Kluyveromyces lactis: one gene and its partner. The protein of the gene in region 1 binds, or shares a complex with, the protein of each later gene. Links are inferred from orthologs where the notes say so. Each region holds a gene or a part of one and is shown in the gene's direction. Other genes may lie near its edges. The genes, in order: STU2 and TUB2.

Region 1 (4,584 bases):
CAATTGGACAATGAGTTCAGAAAGAACAAGCAATTGTTTGTTTTTGACATGGATTCAACCTTGATTTACCAAGAAGTCATCGAGATGATTGCCGCATACGCGGATGTGGAACCTCAAGTGAAATTGATCACGGACCGTGCCATGAATAATGAGATCGATTTCTGTCAATCTTTGAGAGAACGTGTGAAATTATTGAAGGGAATTCAAACGAGACACTTATACGATGAAATTAAACCTAGATTAAGAGTCACCAAGGGTGTCCCAGAGCTATCGAGGGCGTTGAAGTCCCAAGGTTGTAAATTGGCAGTGTTAAGTGGTGGGTTCATCCCGTTTGCTAACTACATTAAGGAAAAGTTAAACTTCGATTTTGCATTGGCTAATACTCTGGGTGTGGAAGTGTCGGATGACGGTACTGAACAATTGAACGGTGAAGCACTCGGCGATATAGTTGACGGAGTGCGCAAGGCCAAGACGTTGGTGGCTCTTGCAGAACAGTACAATTCTCCGATCGAATCCACCGTCATGGTCGGAGATGGTGGTAATGATTTGAACGCAATGGCCGCAGCTGGGTTCGGAATCGCATGGAACGCCAAGCCAAAGGTCCAAGAACAAGCCCCATGTAAGTTAAACAGTGATACAATGATAGACGTCCTATACATCCTGGGGCACACTGAGAAGGAGATAGAAACCATGATCAAAGAATAGAAATGTAAAGAATTTATTCTGATATATATATAGTAAAATGTATATTATAAGCAGTGTACAAAAAATTTTACACGTTAGCAGCAATGGTTTGCTTGATAGCAGCCAAGTTAGCACCTAGGACTCTAGAAATTTCCTTACCGGACTTGAAGAAAACTAGGGTTGGCATAGCACTGACATCGTTGTTCTTTGCAACATCTGGCAACTCATCAACGTCAACCTTCAAGAAGGTAGCTTTACCCTCGTATTCCTTAGCGAACTTTTCCAACATTGGGGCAATCATCTTGCATGGACCACACCAGGTGGCAAAGAAGTCGACGACGACCAACTTGTCGTCAGTCAAAGCCTTTTCGAATTCGGATGCGGAAGTAAGTTGAGCGACCATTATATATGAAATTGGAGGGGATAGTAAAGATAAATTGTACCTTATTTGATGAGGATAGAAAGTTATCAGATTATCCGATAATCAATCGAAGAGACAACTAAATAACCTTTAAATGTATCTTACTTCCTTTATATAATAATGTTGGTTAAATATCGAGTTTTTGACAAATTTTTGCTTGCTAATCAGGAATCGAGAGCTGGAATCAGCTAGAACCCGTCCATTTGTAAGCAGGTGGAAGCGCCAACACTCGTGTAACGGTGTTTTGAATGGCTTGAATTGACTGTATAATGTTCAACCAACACGCATCAGCGCCGATTGAGTGATTGGAGGGGCGTGTACGTGTATAATAGATCCTACCCTCCCATTATTCAGGTTTCTGCAAACCCGATCCAAAGCATATCAACAAAGTCACGTGATATATCACATGACTTGAAATCAATCGTTTCTGTAAACAAAAACAATCAAAATCAACCAGTAAACAAACAAACAGACGAGACAACATGAATAAAATAGACGGTCAGTGAGTCAACACAGGGTGCTGCCAGCTGTATCGCGTGTGTATATCTCCCATGGATAACGCTACGGATGATTCGGCGTCTTTTCAGACTCTGTCACTAGATGAGAGACTTGTTCATAAGCTTTGGAAGGCAAGACAGCATGGATATAATGAGCTAGAAAGCACATTCAATAAACTGTCCGTTGCTAGAGTTGCAGAGAGTGGCGTTAATAAGTATTGGAAGAAACCTGAGATTTTCACGGGGTACGTATTGGATTCCAATGTTGTTGCACAAGAATCTGCCGTTAAGGCCTTGTACAGTTTGTTGAAATTTATGATCGACGTACCCCAGATCAGAGATTTGTGTCAGCCGGGTCAATTGGTTCAGGGCTGGGTTCCAGCTCTGGTGGAGAAAGGTATGACTTCCTCGAAATCAGCGACGAAAGAGGCTTCATTGGCCTGCGTTTCGCTTGTCGTGTCATTGGATGATAATATCGTAAATGCAATCAATTGTCTGACGCCGATTTGGACCAAAAAATTACCGAAGCTGTTGACTGCAGCGTTAATGGTTCATGTAAAGTTGATAGAGCAGTTTGGGTTCGTGAACGTTTCTCAACAGGAGAAGATGCAATCGTTACAGGGTCTAGTGGAAGTTTTACCTAAACTTTGCTCACATGCGGATAAATCTGTGAGGAATGAGTCAATGCAGTTGATTTTACAACTATATACATGGTTTAATAAACCTGTACTTCAAGAGCTTCTATTGGGGAAGTTGAAGCCCATACAACAGAAGGACCTGGATAAACTGTTTGAATCGTACCAGGGCACTATACCGCCTTCTTCAACACCGTCTCAGTTTATATGGGCAGTCCCGGCTCAGAGTGATAACAATTCAACTGATTTACCCTTGGATCATGACGGAGATCTAGCAATGGCAGGTAATAACGGCCAGTCTGCCGCTGCTCTGGATAACCAATCAATCGATCCATATGATATGTTCCCCGTACAAACTATATTAGATAAGCTACCGAATAATTTCTATCAGAGTTTGGCGTCTAGCAAATGGAAGGATAGAGTGGAAGCTTTAGAAGAGTTCCACGATCAGACTTTAACCAAGGTTAAAAAATTGTCAGCATCAAATGAAGATCATTCTGAAATCATTCACAAATTTTGCTCGACTATCACTTCCGATGCAAACCTACAAGCAGTACAAATATCTACCAGCAGTTTAGATATACTAATATCCGCATTAAGATCAGAATATAACCCATTCGCATTGGAAACTTTAAACGCTCTCCTAACTAGATCAAAGGAGAAAAAACCAAACGTCGCAGATTCTATTTTCAATGCTCTCCTGAACCTTTCAAAGTACTATAAATTAGAGCTATGTCTCGAGTCTGTGTTACAACACATGAAGAACAAAGTACCACAGGTAAAAATTGTATGCTCGAAATTTCTTTTCGAGTTGCTATCCAATTGGACACCGACTGAAACTCTTCATAGAACGTCGGTATTCTCCAATTTGCCAGCGATACTCAATTCTTTGCAGCCCATTGTAAACGACAATCAACAGGCAACAAGAAATGAGGGTTTCAAGTGTATTGCTATCTTAATTAAGATATTCGATGAAAGAGAACTATCAACATATTTGGACAAGCTCGATAACTTGAAAAGGAAGAAGATCCTTGAACTTGTTGATAAAGTGGAGATCAAGGCGGCAACGGTTCCACCTCCACACCAAACCCAACCGCAAACCCAATTAAGATCAGCGGCACCAGTAGTACGATCCCAACCCTTGTCTTCAACGATCCCTTCAAAACGACTGGCCACTTCTCCATTGAAACCGGCACGTAACTCTGCCTTGAATGGCAACACGAAGTCGTCCAGGTTGACTTCAAGGTCTCTAACTACTCATCAAATGATGAACCATACGGATCTGCCTTCCTCAACACAACCCAAATCTAATACCAGTTCCAACACAAGCCTCTCTGGCAATTTCACACCACAGACAAACATATCCAACAGAATGTCACATTTAAACGATGAAGTGAACAAATTAAGACAAGAGAGACAAGAATGGCTAAGGGAGCGCAACGATCTCTTATCCAACTTAAATCAATCCAATTTACAACTTTCCAAAGTAAATAAACTCTTGAACGAGTCTGAGACATACGTTTCCAATTTACAAAGGCAATTGCAGGATTCGAAGGATCAATTGAACGCTAAGAATTTAAAGATCAAGGAGTTAGAGAGTAAACTGACGGGCGGTACTTCCGATACCATGTCAACAGATTCACCCATATCCTCGTCCATTAGCAGAGGAAGATTAACAGCAACTACCTTATCACCTCTGAGATCTACTAAAAATGCTACGACTCCTCAAAGGGTCAGATCGCCTAGTGAAAGTAGCGACGATCTACCTAGACGTGTCAATTCCCTAAACTTGAACAACCATATGTTGCAAGAGGAATCGTGGAAACGAGCTGCAGAAGTTACGAACCAATTAAAGGCACGTATAGAAAGAATGAGGGCCAAATCCAGGTCCGGTTTCAACAATCTCGGCGTAGATTAAGAGAATCCACTATGTACAAAATAGATTCCTGTATAAACGACGAATTGAGCGCAAACTCCGACATGACAACCAGAGAGGGAAGCTTCCAGTCACATGACCTAGAATGCATATATTGTCCCGGGTAATATATAGCAACGTCTTCTCTCTGCTTATCTCTGGTGCAGCCTCCTAGTTTTTCCGAAAAGTTTCTTTTTCTCCAAAATTCTCCGAAAATCGTCAGATATTCCAGATATGCAACTAGAGGGAAGATACACCGTTATATGCATTTCAAAATGCAAATAACGGCAACTAAGCCCATCACTCTCAGCACGTTTCTTTTCCATGCACGTCGTTCCCACTGATGATTCCTCGGATCAGTTGATGCGATTTTTAACAACAGCCAAAGCAGACATCCTCCAAGCCGTATCCCAGACAAATACAACTCTATCT
Region 2 (3,631 bases), on another chromosome or scaffold:
CAATGCATGGAACAAAGAGTATATAACCATAGATGATTCAGTTTGAGTTAAAGTTTTCCCTCCTGATAGAGAACATATCAAAAGAACAATGGAAAGTGTAAAATATTGTAGGTTATCCAACTGTCTGATCTGCTGTTTTAAATTCGACCACTGGAATCTTAACTGTTTTGATTTCACATATTGGTGAAGCACAATCCCATAACTGATCACTGTGTATAGCATGATCTTCCTGTAATTTGTCTTTACACTTTGTTCTCGGAATGAGAGCATATATTGGATATAATAGTATAAGCATAACGTGTGACCAAGGAACCAATAGAACTGAGGCTGTTTCAACTTCGTACGGAACACAGCACTCAGAGGGGCTACAGGTCTCTGAGCAGGCCTGTTGCCTCCATTTTGACCGGCAGCATTGGAATAACGATTACCACTGCCATTGCCACTTCCCTCAGACATCTTCTTGAAAAGAAAACCTTTAAAATGAAACCTTAGTAACTAACTCACGAAAGTTCTTTTGGAGACGAGATAATCAACTGCTATTGAGCCGCTAAGTTAAGAGTTCACAATCAACGATGACAAAAACACCTTGAAAAGCTAAATATGTAAACAGCTTTCGTCTTCAATACACAATCAGTTAATCAATTGATAGCCAAAAATATAAGAAAAAAAAAAAAAAAAGAGACCTGCTAACCTGATCCGATTCGATTCGGTTCGAAATAGAATACCGTAGCTTAATCAAAGTAACCTTCCGATTACTATATACATAAAAATGTAGCACTGGACAGATCAATTCCAACTAGTCAAACCCTCTTTCGCTTCTCCAACTAATAGGTTTCCTTCTCTTAACAAACTGTACTGGACGTTTTTTCCCTCTTTAAATTTCCTAATCCTGAAATCCGTTTCTCTTTAAATTTTCACATCGTCTTTAAATGTCAGCTAGAATCGAAAGTTAGGGAAAATTGCAGTATTCCAGTTTCCGTATGATTCTATCATATACGGAAAGTCAGCTGTGAAGAAAATGATCCGAGAAAATAGTCTGTTCAGTCTTTGGACTCATGGAACACTTCGACAACTATTCTAAATCTTAGGGGAATGTGTTGCTCACTTGCAACCTCAACTCTTGTCTTTAGATGAACTGACACTACGCAGGAATTCACACATCACAGTCACGTGCAAATCACGCGATGTAAGTTTCCGTTTCCCGTATTACCCGCACACTTAGCAACCCACAAAGGGAAATAGACGTGCTCGAAAATTGCCTAAAGAAGTGAAACAAAGATCAAAATACAAACAAAGATATGAGGAAAGAGAAGGAGGAAAAAAATAAACAAATAAAAACAAATAAATAAACAATTTAAAGTGGTTAAATAAGTGAACACAGACGTGATTGTGAACAGGCTTGCACGGGTTAGAGATAACTTTATAGATAACAGCTGTGAGAACTCGTCTATTTCGATTTGTTAGTTTGTTTGTTTAATATACTGTGGACAAGACTACTATTTTTACCCATATTATATTTCACTTTTTTCTTGTAAAGGACAGAGAGATCGCATAATTATTTTTTTTTCTTGAAAGAACAAGGATCAACAATTACTGGATTATAGATACCCCTCGATTGTATCAACACCAAGTCTTTCTACAATTTGCCTGTGCTGTGTTTCTTCAATTGTCATTTTTTGAGATCAGATCAATAACGCGCTCAGAGATATTCTAAAACATGAGAGAGATCATTCATTTGTCCACAGGTCAATGTGGTAACCAAATTGGTGCTGCGTTTTGGGAAACTATTTGTGGTGAACACGGTTTGGATTTTGAAGGTAACTATCACGGTATCGATGATATTCAAAAGGCTAGATTGAACGTTTACTTTAACGAAGCCTCTTCTGGTAAATGGGTTCCAAGATCCGTTAACATTGATTTGGAACCTGGTACCATTGATGCTGTACGTAACTCTAAGATTGGTACTTTGTTCAGACCAGATAACTACATTTTCGGTCAATCTTCAGCAGGTAACGTGTGGGCTAAAGGTCATTACACTGAGGGTGCTGAATTGGTGGATTCTGTCATGGACGTTGTCAGACGTGAAGCTGAAGGTTGTGACTCTTTGCAAGGTTTCCAAATCGCCCATTCCCTTGGTGGTGGTACCGGTTCTGGTATGGGTACTTTGTTGATCTCTAAGATCAGAGAAGAATTCCCTGACAGAATGATGGCTACTTTCTCCGTTGTCCCATCCCCAAAGACTTCAGATACCGTTGTAGAACCATACAATGCCACTCTATCTGTACACCAATTAGTCGAACACGCTGATGAAACTTTCTGTATCGATAATGAAGCCCTTTACGATATATGTCAAACTACTCTAAAATTACCACAACCAGATTATGCGAACTTGAACCATTTAGTTTCAAGTGTCATGTCTGGTGTCACTACATCCCTACGTTACCCAGGTCAATTGAACTCAGATCTAAGAAAATTGGCCGTGAATTTGGTGCCCTTCCCAAGATTACACTTCTTCATGGTTGGTTATGCTCCATTAACCTCGATTGGTGCCCAATCTTTCAGATCCCTATCTGTATCAGAATTGACCCAACAAATGTTCGATTCAAGAAATATGATGGCTGCATCTGATCCAAGAAACGGAAGGTACTTGACTGTTGCTGCATTCTTCCGTGGTAAAGTAAGCGTGAAAGAAGTTGAAGATGAAATGCATAAGGTTCAAACTAGAAACTCGTCGTACTTCGTAGAATGGATTCCAAACAACGTGCAAACAGCCGTCTGTTCTGTACCTCCAAAGGACTTAGACATGTCTGCTACTTTCATTGGTAACTCTACATCCATCCAAGAATTATTCAGAAGGGTCGGAGATCAATTTAGTGTTATGTTCAAGAAGAGAGCTTTCTTGCATTGGTATACTAATGAAGGTATGGAAGAAATTGAATTTTCTGAAGCTGAATCTAACATGAATGACTTAGTAAGTGAATACCAACAATATCAAGATGCTACTGTTGAAGATGACGAAGAATTGGAATTCGTTGACGAACAACCAATGGCTGAAAACTTCGAGTAAAGAATATAAAGGAAAACTTCAGCAGGAAAAAAAAAGGAATAAGGAACAAAGATCAGATGTGTACAGAAGATAAGTTTATCATTTTGAGAGCAGTACCACTGAAAGCAAATTATTTGGACACGAGATAAACAATAAACAATGTACTTCAGAAAGATATTTTCTTTCTTCTTATAGTTTTCCTTTCGTTACTTCTACTATTCTAATACTATTCCCCACACCACTAGTAGAAGCGGAAAATTTCGAAATATGATACCACCCTTACTATAATTTATATGCTTTTTGTTTCTCTGCTCAATGATATGTACTATCAATGTGACCCAAAACATTTCTTTAGTATTTGTTTCTATTTTTTTTTAATAATATCATATCTTACTACATAATTTTAGTCTTCACATTATAATACGTGATTCTTCATGATATATTTGACTCAGATGTCAACACAGTAGTATGTGAATGTTTCAATGACTTATCCTCTTCCCCAGGCCTGATCAATCATTTCACAGATCAACGAAACATACCAAGAACAAAAAGAAATAAATTTTTCACAATAGTACCCGAAGAAAA

What was found.
Region 2: the proteins of STU2 (region 1) and TUB2 are in contact, whole or in part, in a crystal structure (PDB 4U3J), measured with the Saccharomyces cerevisiae proteins. The link is inferred for Kluyveromyces lactis from reciprocal best matches to the Saccharomyces cerevisiae genes STU2 and TUB2. Residues at the interface, in NP_013146.1 of Saccharomyces cerevisiae: Ser339, Trp341, Arg344, Ala384, Asn385, Ile386, Gln387, Lys425, Lys427, Lys428, Lys469, Thr470, Pro471; in NP_116616.1 of Saccharomyces cerevisiae: Tyr106, Thr107, Glu108, Ala110, Glu111, Asp114, Lys154, Glu157, Pro160, His195, Ser400, Glu401, Gly402, Glu407.

Annotation. Positions count from the first base shown.
Region 1 is NC_006041.1:1,460,420-1,465,003, reverse strand, and holds STU2 (Stu2p), read left to right. Parts: upstream 1-1,656; coding exon 1,657-4,155; downstream 4,156-4,584. Other genes in the region: SER2 (phosphoserine phosphatase), read left to right, coding at 1-705; thioredoxin TRX2, read right to left, coding at 773-1,087.
Region 2 is NC_006040.1:454,697-458,327, reverse strand, and holds TUB2 (beta-tubulin), read left to right. Parts: upstream 1-1,717; coding exon 1,718-3,067; downstream 3,068-3,631. Other genes in the region: PER33 (Per33p), read right to left, coding at 1-456. UniProt on the Saccharomyces cerevisiae protein: Tubulin is the major constituent of microtubules, a cylinder consisting of laterally associated linear protofilaments composed of alpha- and beta-tubulin heterodimers.